Mytilus edulis: one gene and its partner. The protein of the gene in region 2 binds, or shares a complex with, the protein of the main gene of each other region. Links are inferred from orthologs where the notes say so. Each region holds a gene or a part of one and is shown on either strand. Other genes may lie near its edges.

Evidence for each region.
Region 1: ATP-dependent RNA helicase SUV3 homolog, mitochondrial-like (region 2) and polyribonucleotide nucleotidyltransferase 1, mitochondrial-like share a complex: the UniProt entries of both Homo sapiens proteins name them as parts of the mitochondrial degradosome (mtEXO) complex. The link is inferred for Mytilus edulis from reciprocal best matches to the Homo sapiens genes SUPV3L1 and PNPT1.

Annotation. Positions count from the first base shown.
Region 1 is NC_092346.1:59,045,604-59,053,837, reverse strand, and holds the start of polyribonucleotide nucleotidyltransferase 1, mitochondrial-like, read right to left. Parts: upstream 3,126-8,234; 5' UTR 3,090-3,125; coding exon 2,932-3,089; intron 1-2,931. Other genes in the region: kinetochore-associated protein 1-like, read left to right, coding at 6,534-6,659. UniProt on the Homo sapiens protein: RNA-binding protein implicated in numerous RNA metabolic processes. Catalyzes the phosphorolysis of single-stranded polyribonucleotides processively in the 3'-to-5' direction. Mitochondrial intermembrane factor with RNA-processing exoribonulease activity.
Region 2 is NC_092347.1:16,599,769-16,607,788, reverse strand, and holds the start of ATP-dependent RNA helicase SUV3 homolog, mitochondrial-like, read left to right. Parts: upstream 1-4,802; 5' UTR 4,803-4,912; coding exon 4,913-5,189; intron 5,190-8,020. Other genes in the region: proprotein convertase subtilisin/kexin type 5-like, read right to left, coding at 4,659-4,689. UniProt on the Homo sapiens protein: Major helicase player in mitochondrial RNA metabolism. Component of the mitochondrial degradosome (mtEXO) complex, that degrades 3' overhang double-stranded RNA with a 3'-to-5' directionality in an ATP-dependent manner.

The DNA of each region.
Region 1 (8,234 bases), on a different chromosome or scaffold from region 2:
TTTGGATAACCACCCTAATTACAGATTATTTAACTGCTACTGGAGTACAATTTATAACCTGGGGCTAAATTTCCTTCTTAATTAGACATAAGATAATTGAAATAAAAACAAAATATGTTTGTTATTAATTAGAAGACTTTGATCATCTAATTAGTAAAGGCAAGAATGTTGTTAAGATTTGTTAACTTCTCCAATCAAATTATATACAAAATATATTTATAGTGTCAAAGGGATACATGTATCTATTTCAAAAAAAGAATTGCAATGCATTGCCATTGGTTCATTGTTAAAAGTATGTTTTGTTCTTTTTTAATTTAATTTATATACATGTATATCATAACATTTAAGAAATCAACTGTTTATCTAATCTAAGTTTTTAATTTCAACACGGATTGAAAATGATGTTTTAAGGAAAAATAATACAAATAACGCTTACTACTTTTAAAAATGTAGTACAGAACTTAAAGAAAGACAGACACATTTCCTATTTAAGATCTATTTTATTATTTCAAATCTATTTTCTTATTTTAATATTAAAGCTCTTGAATTATTGACAAGCACATACATCCATTTGTTTCAAAAGCTAGATATATAAAGTAAATTTAGGTAGGGGATCAGGGCTTCCAAAAAATATTTGAGCCAGCCGGACATTTCATATCTGATCCCGATTTTAATCCCTTAAGACTCAGTCACAAAAGGCAATTATGGTAATCAGATGGCCATTCCAATGATTGACATTACATTAAAAAAAAAACGATTTTAAACTTTACTTTGATATGAATTTGATGTTAGGATGTTACTATTAAATTGGCAGTGCATCATTCAAAGTGTGCACATCAGCGTGCTCATATCTGCCATAGACTTTTTATTTGTGCAAAATGACATTGTCAAAAACTACTTTCGTTTTCAACCGGATGTTGACTTGACAATGGTAAAACATGGACCATAAACGGATACGTAAAATCCGTGTATTTTTACAAAGCACGACTGAGAGAAGAAGCTCTTTCCATGTTATTTTTTCAACAAAATACTTGAATTGAACGTTAGATACAGGTATCATTGATTATTTTAGCATTTTTGAAGAAATGTAGGATGCATTATTAAATTTCCCACCTGTGCACATGCGCACACGTGTTCTAGTTCATACGACATAGTTCTGACGATTTTTTATCTAAAACCTTAAAATTTTTCATCAAATCATTTTGATAAACTAATTTCTAATAATTTTAATCTTTAGAACGAAATCAATTAGATACAAACCGCTGAAATGTAAGAAAATATTTGTGATTAAACCGATCAATTTATACGATGTCCGGTACTGATCATAGTTCACCTGTCACCTGAACAGGTAGATTTCAGCTGTCCAACTACTAATTAGCCTTGATTAAAATTAGAAAGTATTGAAGTGGGTGTTGTTTTGATAGTAATTAATCATCATGTCACATTTATGACCGGAAACGTGTTGATGTTAAAGGCAAAAGGTTGGGTCAAAAAGATCGTGAATTATGTAAAAATGACCGAAAAAGCCTTGAAAAATAAAAAGTATATGACCGTTTCATGCTTTGCCCAGCCGGACTTTTACCGGACATTATACAAATGACCAGAATATATGACCGTTTTGGAAGCCCTGTAGGGGATCTGGTTGCTCATAATGCAGCTTGAGACAATAGATGCAAATAAGGCAGTTGCTTTAATAACTCGCAATTATTGTTGATGCATAATATTTTATCTGTACTACAAAGTGATAACATACATATTTTCCTCTGAAATAGGTTATTTTTCATCATACTATTTTACTAAAGTAATCGAAATGTAATCGAAAAGTAATCGATGATTACATCCAAATTTTTGCTGTAATCGATTAAATTACGATTACATGTAATCGAAAATGTCTTCGATTACAGATTACTGTCGATAACTTGAAAAAATGTAATCAATTACAATCGATTACGATTACAGATTACGATTACCCCATCCCTGGAATAAGTACTTATAGCAAAAATAAACCAAGGTTTACTTTTATATGTTATTTGGATGGAGAGTTGTCTCATTGGCACTCACACCACATCTTCCTATATCTATACCAAGAATAAAAATAAAGTGATAAAACTGTGTCTGTTATGTATAAGAACATATATAGATAAACGTGCAGATGCTTAAATATCAAAGAAACAGAATATTTAAAAAGTAAAGTAATACTTTTTAAAGATTAACAATGAGCAGAATGATTGCCGGAAAGCGATAAAACAATCTATGTCAAATAACCGCTACCTATTGCATCAAAACTCTCGGCACTCTGCATCTAGGAAAAGTTACCGTTAAAAATGCCACACAAAACCCGCTCGTTGGCCCACTTTCTGTTTCTTTTCTTAACATGTTTGAATTAAAAAAAAAAAATCATACAGACTCTGTCCCCTTTCACAAGTAATGCCTTCCTATATCTATACCAAGAATAAAAATAAAGTGATAAAACTGTGTCTGTTATGTATAAGAACATATATAGATAAACGTGCAGATGCTTAAATATCAAAGAAACAGAATATTTAAAAAGTAAAGTAATACTTTTTAAAGATTAACAATGAGCAGAATGATTGCCGGAAAGCGATAAAACAATCTATGTCAAATAACCGCTACGTATTGCATCAAAACTCTCGGCACTCTGCATCTAGGAAAAGTTACCGTTAAAAATGCCACACAAAACCCGCTCGTTGGCCCACTTTCTGTTTCTTTTCTTAACATGTTTGAATTAAAAAAAAAAAATCATACAGACTCTGTCCCCTTTCACAAGTAATGCCTGCCTCATATTAAAATATTATATAAAATTAAATGGAAAGTATTAATTATTTTTGATTTATTTTAGGGGGTTGTCCATTATTTGAGAGTGAATTATTTAGCATTATGCAAGACGTTGCAATCTAATTAGTAATTTACCTATTTCCCACATCAAATTTTACATTACGAACTGATTCTTCATTTCCCCATGAACTTTTCTGCACCTCATGACACAACTGTCCTATGCGCTTTAAATGTTTTTGCATTAAAAATAGATGATTCTTTACAGTCCATGTTTGTTTCAAGGGCGCAGCCATCTTTTATTCGTAGTTGATTGGATAAATCTAGAGGAAATCCGGATTAATCTACTCATTCCCGGCTCAGATTGTTACTGTTTCTACTTATCAAATTTTACAGGCACCAGATTAATTGGCGCAATCTTTGAAGTTGAAGAATACAGAATACGTTGTGTCAGAGGTATATAATCGTAAATTATGAGTTACAGTAATCCAACCAAATAAATCATGCAAAAAAAAACGTTTTATAGATATTAAGGGAACTACCATTTTTCGAGTCCCACCGATAAGAAGATGTCAAACTTTTGCAGTTTTGTGAATGAATTAAAAAAAATAATTTGATAAATCATTTGAATTTCCTGTTCAAACATTTGGAAGGTAACTCAATTTTAAACAATTTGTATGAATTACTTTCTGTTTCATATCTGTGCATTAAAATTAAAATAGCCTTGCCAGACGTCATAATTTGGACTACCCCAAAACATGTTTCCTACGGTAGTCTAAAATCGGTCATCTTGTCAGTTCGTTAGGTATTTGTGTTTGAACTTAACACACTGGGAAACTACGCATTGACGTCACTGAACTTAGCAAACATGGGAAACTACGCGTAGAAAAACAGTGCAGAATACGTTTTTTCTGCACTTTTGAAAAAAAAAACATTTTTAAAGATAAGTTTTCATTGTTGTTCTCAATTATTGCTAAAAAATGCCAATTTTCTAATGCCTGTTTCAATCCTGACTTCCGAATGTCTAAAAACATTCTAGAACTTCACAAAATCCCACTTCCGGCCTCCATTGCTTTAAGTACATTCCATTCAGCGTCATCAGTCTTGTGGCAGGCAATACAGGTCAAGCAAATCGTATTTTTAGGAATTTTAAAATGACATGCTCCTTATGTCTTTCGCGATTTTCCCCGCGAAAAAAGCCCAACCAAAATGAAAGGAAAACTATATGAAAAAACGATGTCCATGCCATAAAAGAGGGACGAAAGATACCAAAGGGACAGTCAAACTCATAATTCTAAAACAAACTGACAACGCCATGGCTAAAAATGAAAAAGACAAACAGAAAAACAATAGTACACATGACACAACATAGAAAACTAAAGAATAAACAACAAGAACCCCACCAAAAACTAGGGGTGATCTCAGGTGCTCCGGAAGGGTAAGCAGATCCTGCTCCACATGTGGCACCCGTCGTGTTGCTTATGTGATTACAAATCCGGTAAATAGACTAATTCGGTAGGTCACATTTATGAAAGGGAAGGGGATTGTAGTTACGACGTAAGGAACATATCCGATATCATTTGTGAAACGGTTATTCCATAACGGTCAACCAACTCGTGATGGCGTCCGTAAAATTTACGAAGGGATGATTTCAACTTCACCATATGCAACTCTTGGCTTAATAGCTTCCTTGTGAGCAGTAACCCTCCATAATTTTGTACAGGAATATAGAGAAGGTTAATAAAAAACAATTTACATTATTTTTCATAGAATTTTTTTTTTATTCATTTTAAAAAGATCGATATTCTGACCATCATGACTGTAGGTAAATATTCATACAAAATTCCATTGATGTCGAAAGGGATGGCAAAAAATGAGGTTTCCTATTAAATAAAACCCAAAAGTATTGCAAACTATTTTAAAGCAATATCCCACAAAGAAATAACGTAATTGCCGTAGGCTGAAAAATCCCCTAATTGACAGTAGAGCAATTTGATTGGGTAGAACGAATTGACATCACAGGATTTTGACGCCATTGAAATTTGATTGTTAACAAACAAGGTCAGAAGGTTCAGTATGGGACAGCATCGTACACTGAGTTACTAAGAAACAATTATGAGTAACCAAGCTTGACAATGCACGGTAATAAAAAATGAAAGCTAAGTCTACAGAAAAAATAAGAAAAAAATTGCCTTAGGATAACGACTTATCAACACACCTGGATTCGCTCACATTCACGTTCATACATACACCTTATTGCTATTTGTCCGCCATTACTGGATATCGCACAGGTCCCCGTAAAATTTTGACGTCATAAAACAAAATATCTGATGCCACAATGGAAAAGTGATTGTTGTTGACGTCAAAAGTTCAAGCGGCCGGGTCAGCCGGAATTAGCGATAAGGTGTATTGAAGGGACAACTAAAAGTGTTTGATAAATGATAAAGAAAGAAAAGTCAAATACAAGATAAAATGTGGCTGGAACATGCTCTACTTAAACCACATGCTAACTAAAACCCGCATTGAGTAATAAGGGGAGGAAAATCTATTACAAGGCATTATCATTTATGTAAAATGAGAGTTGCCTCGTATTGTACAAAATTGATGCAGGACACGATGGCCATACTGCCATGACGTCCATAGAATGTATGGCTTGTCAGTGCTTGTTGTCTAAACTATGATTATCCTAAAAAAAAAAGAAGACAACTCTGAATGTCTACATGTAAAATGTATCTGACTATCAATAAGTCAAACAACAACTCAACTCTGGGAAATAATAAAAGGAGAGATTTGACTATATAATTGATTTATTGAGTGTCTCCTAAGTTAAAGAAAACTAGGACTGTTTCTGAAGAGAGGTTTTACCAATAATAAGTTAAATAGGAAAGTCAACTCAGAATAAGTTTATTGGGAGATCTTTGATGCCTGTTTTGAAGAATACATTGATTTCCTGCAAACTTCAAAAAATCCATAGGAACCTAAGAATTGGTAGATATTACCAGAGAACTCTATTTTATATGATGTAATACTGCTTTTATTGATAATAAAGACTATAACTTTGACATGCATGTGTATAAGTCATTTTTACTCAATAAATGTACATGTATAGAGCTATCTACCAGGCCTGTAGCCAGGAATTTCCAAGGAGGGGGTTCGTTGGACTCATGAACTCGACTTTAACAGTCACAATTTGAATGTTGACTTTAACAGTGCTTATTTGATTTCAAGGGGGGGGGGGGGGTTCGGACAGGGGGGGGTTCTGGCTACGGGTATGTCTACCTTTTGAATAATTACATCTTCCATATTGTTATACTAGGACCTTGCATATAAGACACAACAATCAAATTCCTCAACTTAAATTGTACTTTTATTGTGTGAAAATTATGTATCTTTCAAAATTAGTCTTAATTATCTCACAAAGCAGAAATAATACTACATGTATAATATACAATTAAGTTTGACGAAAAATGTAAAAATATAACTTTATTTATAATCATTTGAATAGTCCAAATTCACTTTTGATAAATTGTCTAGGTTGTAAATCACTTTGTTTACAGTGACTTTTACAAAGACGGCCTGAGCCGTCTTTATAGATTGTCTGTGTTTCTAAGTTGTCTTCAAGCTGAGTTGTCCCATATTCACACCAGTAATCACAAACTGATTAAAAACCTGAAAACTGCTTAATATTACCTGAAAAAACTTTATTTTTACAATTTTTTTGTACTTGCAGATCATTAATAATGCCGTGGGACTTGATAGCCACAGATTTTAATGGTGAGGAAACCATTAATTTTGGACCAAGACAAGAATCTGGCATTGCATTGTATCAAGTGGAAACCTTAGCTACAATATCATCTAGTGATAAGGTACAATGAAACACTTTTATAAAATTTTGTATCCATGATGTGTAGAGTGGGGTACTCATTTTCGCCATATCTTTCCATGTTTTCTACAGTTTATGTTGAGGTCTATATGTTTTTGAAGTAAACTGATATTTCTATATGAAGATAACTTCAAATGCAAAATATTCCTAAGCTTGAAAACGTGTTTGTTTGAAAATAATTACCTGAAAAGTTAGATTAAAAGGTGTTTGAAATTTCTTGATGTTTTGTCCAAGGGGGACACATATTCGCCGTTTTTACACATCTATTTGAAACCAAATAACTGCAGCTTTAACAATATTTATCAAATCAATATCATTATAGATGAATAGCAGACCTTTCAAAGGTTTTAAGAACTGAAATTAAGGGCAATTAGTGCAAAAAAATAACTAAGAAATACTTCTTTGAAATCGTGTTTTTCATTCTGACAGGAAATTGGCCGAAATCGTTGTCCGTTTTTCAGTCTTTTGTGGTAAGTGCTGCAATTTTGCCTCAGTTTAAAAAAATAATCATATTTGTTATAAAAATATAAATTACCGCCATATTTCTTCCATTTCTGCCATCCTTTGAAGCTTTTACACCTCAAAATCATAAAACGGCAAAATTGTGTCCCCGGCGAATATGAGTGCCCCACTCTAACATTGTAGTTTCAAAATCTGAAAGAATTATGTTAATCTTGAGGATATGTATACCTGACCAATATTAATGATATACATGTACCCCAATCAGACATTTAAAATTTGAACTGCTGATCAAAACAAGTTAAGATGATGTTATTAATTTCCCCCATTGAACATATTGAATTTGAAAGATAACAAATAGGATTCCATCAGCACCCAGTAATGATAATACATATATAATAGAATAAGCTTTGTTTCTTTATGCATAAAATGCATTCCTGATTACCTGTATCAGGTATGCCCAAGACAAAAAGTAAGTTACCTAAAACATAAAATGTTCTTTGTGGTCACAGGATCAATAGAAATGATGTACCACATTGATTGTTCTTGACTATAGTTATAAATGTATATTAATGTTTCAGGATAAGTTGCATCAGCAGTGTGAAGGAAGTATTTCCATATCAACCTGGTGAACCCAACATTTTTGTGAGGATTTCACAAACATACCTGTCGCAACCCCAACTTATTCGATAAAACTTATGACACATGATCAAGCACAATAATTATCAGTGATTTTTTGGGATGAATTGGTATCACATTTATAAGTTGATACCTTATACTAAGAGATATCTTTTTTTTTTAACTTTTGATTTTTTTATTTCCAACAATTACAACATATACATGATATACATACAATATAACACATGTAAGATAAATACAATGTCATTTTTATAAATAAATCTTAATTGGAAATATTTTACATTTTCCATTGAAAAGATAAAGAAATAAAAAAAAAATAAAGAAGGAAAACAAAAAACAAAAACAAAACACAAAAGGATTATCCAGTTACATCCCTATCAATATTTTAAATATCACATAATTATGTTGAAAAAAAAATTGAAAATTTACGACACATATTTCTTTCGTAACAGCCATCAAC
Region 2 (8,020 bases):
ACCCAGGGATGCTGGTAAAGGTATCCAGCTGTAGCCTGCATGTAGAGTTGACCCTAGTGAACAAATTGACCCCAACAATTGTTAGGTGGGAGTGAATCTGATCTTGGTTCAGCAGTCTACAGCAGGCCATTTGGACCAAAAATACGGAATTTCACGATTTTTTCCAATTTTTGACTTCAAATGGACACAAAACAGGAAGTAGACGTTTCCGCTGTGCATTTTAATAATGATAACGATCAGTAGTTTTATGTTCATGGGTTAGCACTATTTTTGCAAGTTTTATGCCTCTGAACTTCCTGTGTAAGTAGATATAGGAAGATGTGGTGTGAGTGCCAATGAGACAACTCTCCATCCAAATAACAATTTATAAAAGTAAACCATTATAGGTCAATGTTTAGCCTTCAACATGAAGCCTTGACTCACACCGAACAACAAGCTATAAAGGGGCCCGAAAAAAGACACAGATGTGAAGTCCACCCCTCCAGAAAACCGAGTTTCAGCCGATTTCAATTTTCCAAGTCTGTATTTGTGCTCAAAATGCAATTTATTCATGAGAAACATGAATATGGATAGCCTCAGGTTGACAGAACATGCACAACTTTTAAATTAAGTATCATAAAGTGGACTTCTAAAAGTATGGAACACCATTGGAGCCAAACAATGATGGTCTGAGTACGCCTGTCATATGATGGTCACTGCATGGTAAGGGTTAAGATTTCAAATAATGTAAGAACAGGACTTTATAATTCCCAATATTTTACCCCATTATCTACTAGGGTGATACCTTTTCTGAAACCATAAACAATTATCTATCAAAAAGTCAATAAAAATCTTAAGTATTTCACCACATTTTTCCAATGATTTGAACAAAATTGAAATGTTGAATTTAAAAGCACCAAATATTTGTTGGAAAACATTACAATAATTTCATGAATTTCAGGACCTCAGGACGATACAGGTATGAGGGTATTAATGCCATTTACCGACAGACATTAAAATATTGTGGTTTGTTATTGGTCTCAAATAATTACCGTTAACATCATTTTTGGAAAAAAATTAACATTATGCGTCCAAATCAGTAGATGTTTTAGCTCACCCAGCCCAAAGAGCAAAGTGAGCTTTTCTCATCACTTGGCGTCCGTTGTCGTTAACTTCTACAAAAATCTTCTCCTCTGAAACTACTGGGCCAAATTAAACCAAACTTGGATACAATCATCATTGGGGTATCTAGTTTAATAAATGTGTCCTGTGACCCGGCTAACCAACCAAGATGACTGTTATGGCTAAAAATAGAACATAGTGGTAAAATGTAGATTTTGGCTTATAAATATCTCTGAAACCAAAGCATTTGGAGCAAATTAAATCTGACATGGGGTAAAATTGTTAATCAGGTCAAGATCTATCTGCCCTGAAATTTTCAGATGAATCGGAGAACTAGTTGCTTGATTGCTGCCCCTAAATTGGTAATTTTAAGGAAATTTTGACATTTTTGTTTATAATCTTGAATATTATTATAGATAGAGATAAACTGTAAATGTACAGCAAAGTAAGATCTACAAATAAGTCAACAGTCAGTTGACCCCTTAACATGCTTAAGGATTTATTGCCTTTTATAGTTAATTTTTAACAATTTTTGGTAAATTTTTGTAATCTTCTAAAAAAATCTTCTCCTCCAAAACTACTAGGACCAATTCGTCCAAACTTGTTCACAATTATCAGTAGGGTATCTAGTTTTAAAAATGTGTCTGATGACCCCATCCCCATACCTAGATGGCTGACATGGGTAAAAATAGTTCATAGGGTAAAATGTTTTTTGCTCATATCTCTGAAACCAAAGCATTTAGAGCAAATCTGCTGTGGATAAAATTGTTCATTAGGTTAAGATCTATCTGCCCTGAAATTTCAGACCAATCGGGAAGCTTGTTGTTGGATTGCTGCCCCTAAATTGGTAATTTTAAGAAAATTTTGCAGCTTTTGGTTATTATCTTGAATATTATTATAGATAGAGATAAACTGTAAACAGCAATAATGTACAGCAAAGTACCGGTAAGAGCTACAAATAAGTCAATATGACCAAAGTGGTCAATTGACATCTTAAGGAGTTATTGCCCTTTATCAGTCAGAGCTCAGACATAAACAAGTCGATTTTTGTTTTCAACTTACAGTTCTAAGTCAAAACAGTTATTTATCATAAAAATGTGTTTTCAATTTTAGACTTATCTAAGTCAGAAAATGACAGACTTGTTTAGGTCTATTTATGTTGATGAAAAAACTTAATTTCACTTGGTGGCCAAACTACACCACCTATGACAGCAAAAACCTGTCTGAGAGTTCACAAGGACTTGAGCTATCTATATTTAATTGTCTAATTGAACATCCTCACTAAACACAGATGTTTTACCTCATTAAGTGGGGTTCCAGGTGGTTGCATTGTAAGGTTAATTAACATTATCTCCGATTTTTTAGACTCTCATTTCATATTTTTCTTTAGAAGACAAAGCATTGTCTTTCAATGTTGTCATTATTTGATTTAGATGCATGACCTCCTTATAAATATGCGTGGGTCTTGAAGTTTACCAATTTTGATCACTTTTCGACTTGTAGAAAGCGTTATTTGCAACTTTTTGATTCTGGTCAATTATTTCTTGCTTAACAATATTTATATTTCTTATGTCTTGCATTAAAGGGAGACAAATACTAAAACTTACAAATTTAGACCTCTATGAGTCAAAAGCAGATTCAGACTTATTTATGTCTGAGCTCTGACTGTTTATAGTCAATTTTAACAATTTTCATAAATTTTGTAATTTTTGTAAATTTTTACAAAATATTTTCCACTGTCACATTCTGGGCCAATTTCATTATAGATAGAGATAATTGTAAGCTGCAAGATTGTTCAGTAAAGTAAGATCTTCAAACACATCACCAACACCAAAACACAATTTTGTCATGAATCCATCTGTGTCCTTCGTTTAATATGCACATAAACCAAGGTGAGCGACACAGGCTCTTTAGAGCCTCTAGTTTATTGTCTAAAAGAAAGTATCCATTTTAAACGTCACGGTCCTACTGAAAAGTGCCCGGGAAAAGAAAAAACGCCCGGGGAAAAGAAAAAGCGCCCGGAGAAGGAAAATTAGCACCCTGAGAAGAAAATTAGCGCCGTGGAGAAGAAAATAATAATATTTTATAACAATATTTTTTTCTTTAAAAAATAACTAATCATTGCTTGTTTTGTCCTTAATATAAATGGTGAAATGTATGATGCTATATCTAAAGTATTGTTGTACTTTTACATTTTAGATTTCAAAATTGTATATAAGTATGTAAATAAATATAAATAATGAGGGGGAGGACAGGGGGTACCATTCTCCCTTCTCCCACCCCCTCTTCTCCTTTCTCCTACCCCCTTCTCCTTTTTCCTACCCCCGTTCTCCTTTCTTCCATTAGAATAAAACATCTCCCTTTGAGATATTTTTTCTTGAAATATTAGATCGTTTTTTAAAAGGAGAGATATTTTATTTTTTCTCCTTTCTCCCAGCCTTCCTCTCCTTTCTCCCAGTCTCCCTTACCCCTGTCCTCCCCCTCAATAATAGTAAATAGAAGAATCATGAAAGACATTGTCCTCGATCAAAATGTATGTTTTGTTACTAAAAATAATCGGTGCCTGAGGTCTAATATTTTCGCAACTGCATGGTGAACACTTTTTTATACAGATGCTGAGATAGATTTATTATATCTTTTTATAAAACTAAAACTGTTTCAATGGCTATGGTTATCAGGGTTTTAATGCTAAGACTTAAATTTAAACATAAGTAAATTAACATCTGCTTTTTATCACCTTGTTTTAACTAGGTACATGTATAGTACTGCTTTTTTGCTGATTTATTATGTGTACCTTTTTTATTTTGCTTAAGTTAATATTTATCTGTGAAATTTGAGTTGTCTTATACATTTTCATTTTGATATCGTTTTTCAAAAACATGTCTTTTGATGTCTTAATTACATGTTATAAATCTTCCGCATAAACTGTGATATCCTGCCATTATTATCAGTCTTTCGAAAAAGAATTCATATATTATTGTTAAAATTGAAATATTCATACTTGTTTTTGTGTTTTATTACAAATGTCTATTATCTGAATTTGCAAATTACTTGTCTAAAATAAAAAAATAAAAAATGTCCGTAACTTAACAAAGTTGTCTCATGCCAATAAAATATCTATATATTTTTCCCGGGCGCTTTTTCTGTTCCCTGGGCGCTATGTTTTCTTCTCCAGGCGCTTTTTATTTTCTCCTGGCGCTTTTTTTTCTTTTTATTTTCTCCGGGCGCTTTTTATTTTCTCCGGGTGCTTTTTATTTTCTCCAGGCGCATTTTAGTAGGACCCAAACGTCATGCACCAAAAATTACTGTTAATGTCATTTGGCAAGAATTTTTACGGTTTTTGTCATGAAGGTACTCTAATTACTACCCTCAGGTATGGCATTGGGATGTACAGGATATGGACAGTTGAGTGTGTAGAATCTCTGGCTTTCATTTTTGATGCCTAGGATGTAGCAGAGAGACTAGCATAGACGATAAGATATTGAGAATAAAACTGATGGTCCTCATGATCAGAAGAAGAAGATCATGCTATGTAAAATATTCAAAATAAATCATACCATAAACACTTTGTAATGAAAAGTTAACCATTTTCTTTTGCTGTGAACTTATTCATGTCAACAGTTATTGAATAAATAACAATTTAAAGTACTCAGATCTACGACGACATCTACCATTTTGACAATCATGTGATTTAGTCATTCGCCTTATTCTACTTCCGGTTTATTTCAAGATGTCAGCCTCCAGTAAGAAAACACGAGAAATTTTGCAGTAGATCACATAGCTTGGATTTAGACAGTTCTTTGATGAAATTATGTTCAATATTTGCACAACTGTTTGCAGAAAACAACCAAAAGTCCATAAATTAATCAAGCAAGTAGATGTTACAAATCTGACGAAACATGTGCTTGGATTTAAGTCATTGCAAGGACAAGAGCTCTATAGTCGACATTCAAAATCTAAAAAGAATAAAAAGAGCCAAAACACACCTGTAAAAACTTTAGAATCGCTTGTTGAACCAGTTCCATACACATCAACACATACACAGCCACATGGAATTGGTGAAGAACTTGGTGGAACCCTGGCCAAAGGTAAAGACATGTTTGAAAAAAAAAGTCAAATTTAACAAAAAATAATTCCAAATCCCATGGAAAATTTTAATCGGGAAGTCCCTTAGCAAATTGCATAAACAAAAGCTCAAACATTTGTCACAGAATGAATTAAGACCTTCCTATAAGGCAGTGTCTGCGTGACCCTGCATGTTCAGTGTTCTCCCCAGGCTCTTAAAGGACCACGGGCCTGCAATGTATAATTTTTTACCGTGGTTCTATTGGTTCTGCCGCGATGTAGAATTCTTATCCGTGGTGCTAAAATATTCAGGTGAAATTTGACCAGTTCAAACCCAGATTGTTTACACCACGTGATCAATTTACTGTACTTCTTCTTTCGTTAATCAGCAACGGAAAATATACCATCACTCATGAGGTTTACCTTGTTGATTGGATTTAAACGATGTTACTAACACTTGTAACATGATTGTTTTGTGTCTTAATTAAGATTTAACAATTTTATGATCACAAATAACTACACACCATAGTCTGTTATTTTTTAACTGTTAATATTGGAATTAGTTAAAAAGGCAAGTTCAAATCATGAATAAGTGTTCAGTGAAAATTGTTTTCTTTAATCTAATTTGCTCATAATTCTTTTATGTAATTAACTTTATTCAAATAAATTTGGATCTTCCCTCATCTGATCACCAGCATGGCTCAAGGTATTACTCCTAAAATTATTGTGAGGGGTGTGAGGTGACACGTCCAGGTATTCAAGCAATTTCCTGTCGCGCTTGCAAGTGCATGCATCGTTTCACTTCTGATGGTATTGATCAGTGTACACGGCCCATAACTTATAACTTTCCATTTTGAACTACATGTATCAGGTGTATAATATACATCTCTGTCTTGCGTGTCCAAAACTGATATAATATACTAGTCATTACTTAACTCATACGCTTGTTTATAAATAACATTTCTGGTGTAAAGAATATTATTTATAAAAATATAAATAATACATGTACCAAAAAAAAAAGATTTGATGAAATAACTATATATTTACATATTTTTTCCAAGGGTAAATTTGGGAAAATGTAATACAGTGTTCTCCTCAGGCTGTTTTAGCGTCGCGGTATCGGGACGCTATATTTTCTTTCCGTGACGCTATAATAATTTCATATTAAATATATATTAAATAGGTGTTAATTGCCCTTTGGGTGATAACTGTTTGGATACGAATACCCCAAGCTGTCACTTGTGACATGATTGATACCATGTGGTCTGCTATCGGAAATTTCGCCAAGGAGAATGTAATCAGAAAATCATAAACAAAAAATTCAAAATGTTTGCAATATGAAAGTTCAGGAAACAAACAATTTTTCTCTTTTTAAAAAGAGGTTGAGTCGTATCTTTTTATGACTTTCAAATTAATATGAGGCAGGCATTACCTGTGAATGGGGACGAAGTTTGTATTAATTTGTTTTCTATTCAAACATGGAAATACTGTAATGTTTCCGATATTGGTTCTGTTGTTAGGGATTCAGTTGTGACGTTATTTAAGTTATGAAGTCATATTCAATGTAAACAAAGAAACGCTGTTATCAGGTAACGTTTTTTTCATATCAAACAATTATTAAAAATGATTGGGTGTTGAACTCCTTCCTATATTTTTTGATATGTTGAAAAATTATACATTTTATTTAAAGTCTCATGCAAACAAGACCGGAAGAGGAAGTAGATCTGAAAAAAAAGTTAACGATTTTGAGTTCATTTAGTAGAATGAAAAATTCGGGAAAATTTTCCTGATTTTTTTTTTTATTGATTTTTCTACCGTAATTGGGGACTTTGTCCCCATATTATTACTTTCTTTCTCTTCCCATGTAAATTGAGAGTGAAAATTTTAATATTGAGCTAAATAAGTTTTGTACTTTCTTTAGAAATTGATCATAATTAGCTCTAGGTTATGTTTCATCCATTTAATGCATTAAAAATTACATTGAAAAAAATACAATTTATTTTTTTTACGCCAAATGTGAAGCTATCCAAAATTTCTGGGGAGAACACTGTAATATATACTTGTTGTCAATAGTGAAGGATGGATTGGAACATACCAGAAACATTGAATTTAACAAAATTGTACGCACTTGTCGACCATTCGTTTACATACGCCTGGATAGAAAGTTACGGAACTATAGATAATCACAATTTAAAATATATACATGTATACATTGAACATAAGAAAGAAACATACATTTTGTTTAATTTCGGGTAAAAGTTTTGTAAATAGACTAGTCCACATATGCCAACAGTATGTAATCATTGAATTGATAGACTATTGTATACCAAAAGAAGAAGAAGAGAACCATTTTGATTTAAATACAGGTAGATATATTACTTGCTTTGGTTCATCGAAGTTATGGACATAGTAAAATGACAGATTTATATATCAATTAGATGGAAGAAATTAGTCATCATCACAATTGTTCTGACATGCATGTAATATATATATGCAACTGAACGTACACTAATAATCCCCAAGGGATGTGAATATTTTCCAGGAAAACTATTGAGTATCAAAGTTTCAAATCAATTTCAGGATTTATTTTCTTTCTGATATTCAATGACAGCAATTAAAGAATAAACTGCTTGTCAGCCTTTCGGGTATTCTTGCAGTTAAAACAGACTTATAATTACGTTCAAAAATAGGGAAAGATGACATTAAATTCGTTCTGTCTTTTTTTTAAACATTATTGGTCAAATAGCTAAAGTATTATATGTTGTGAGACAAAGACTATTTTAATAAGGACATTCCCGATTATGTATAAATTTTGTTGATGTTTTTCACACTTGAAAAGAATATCTGTTTGTAA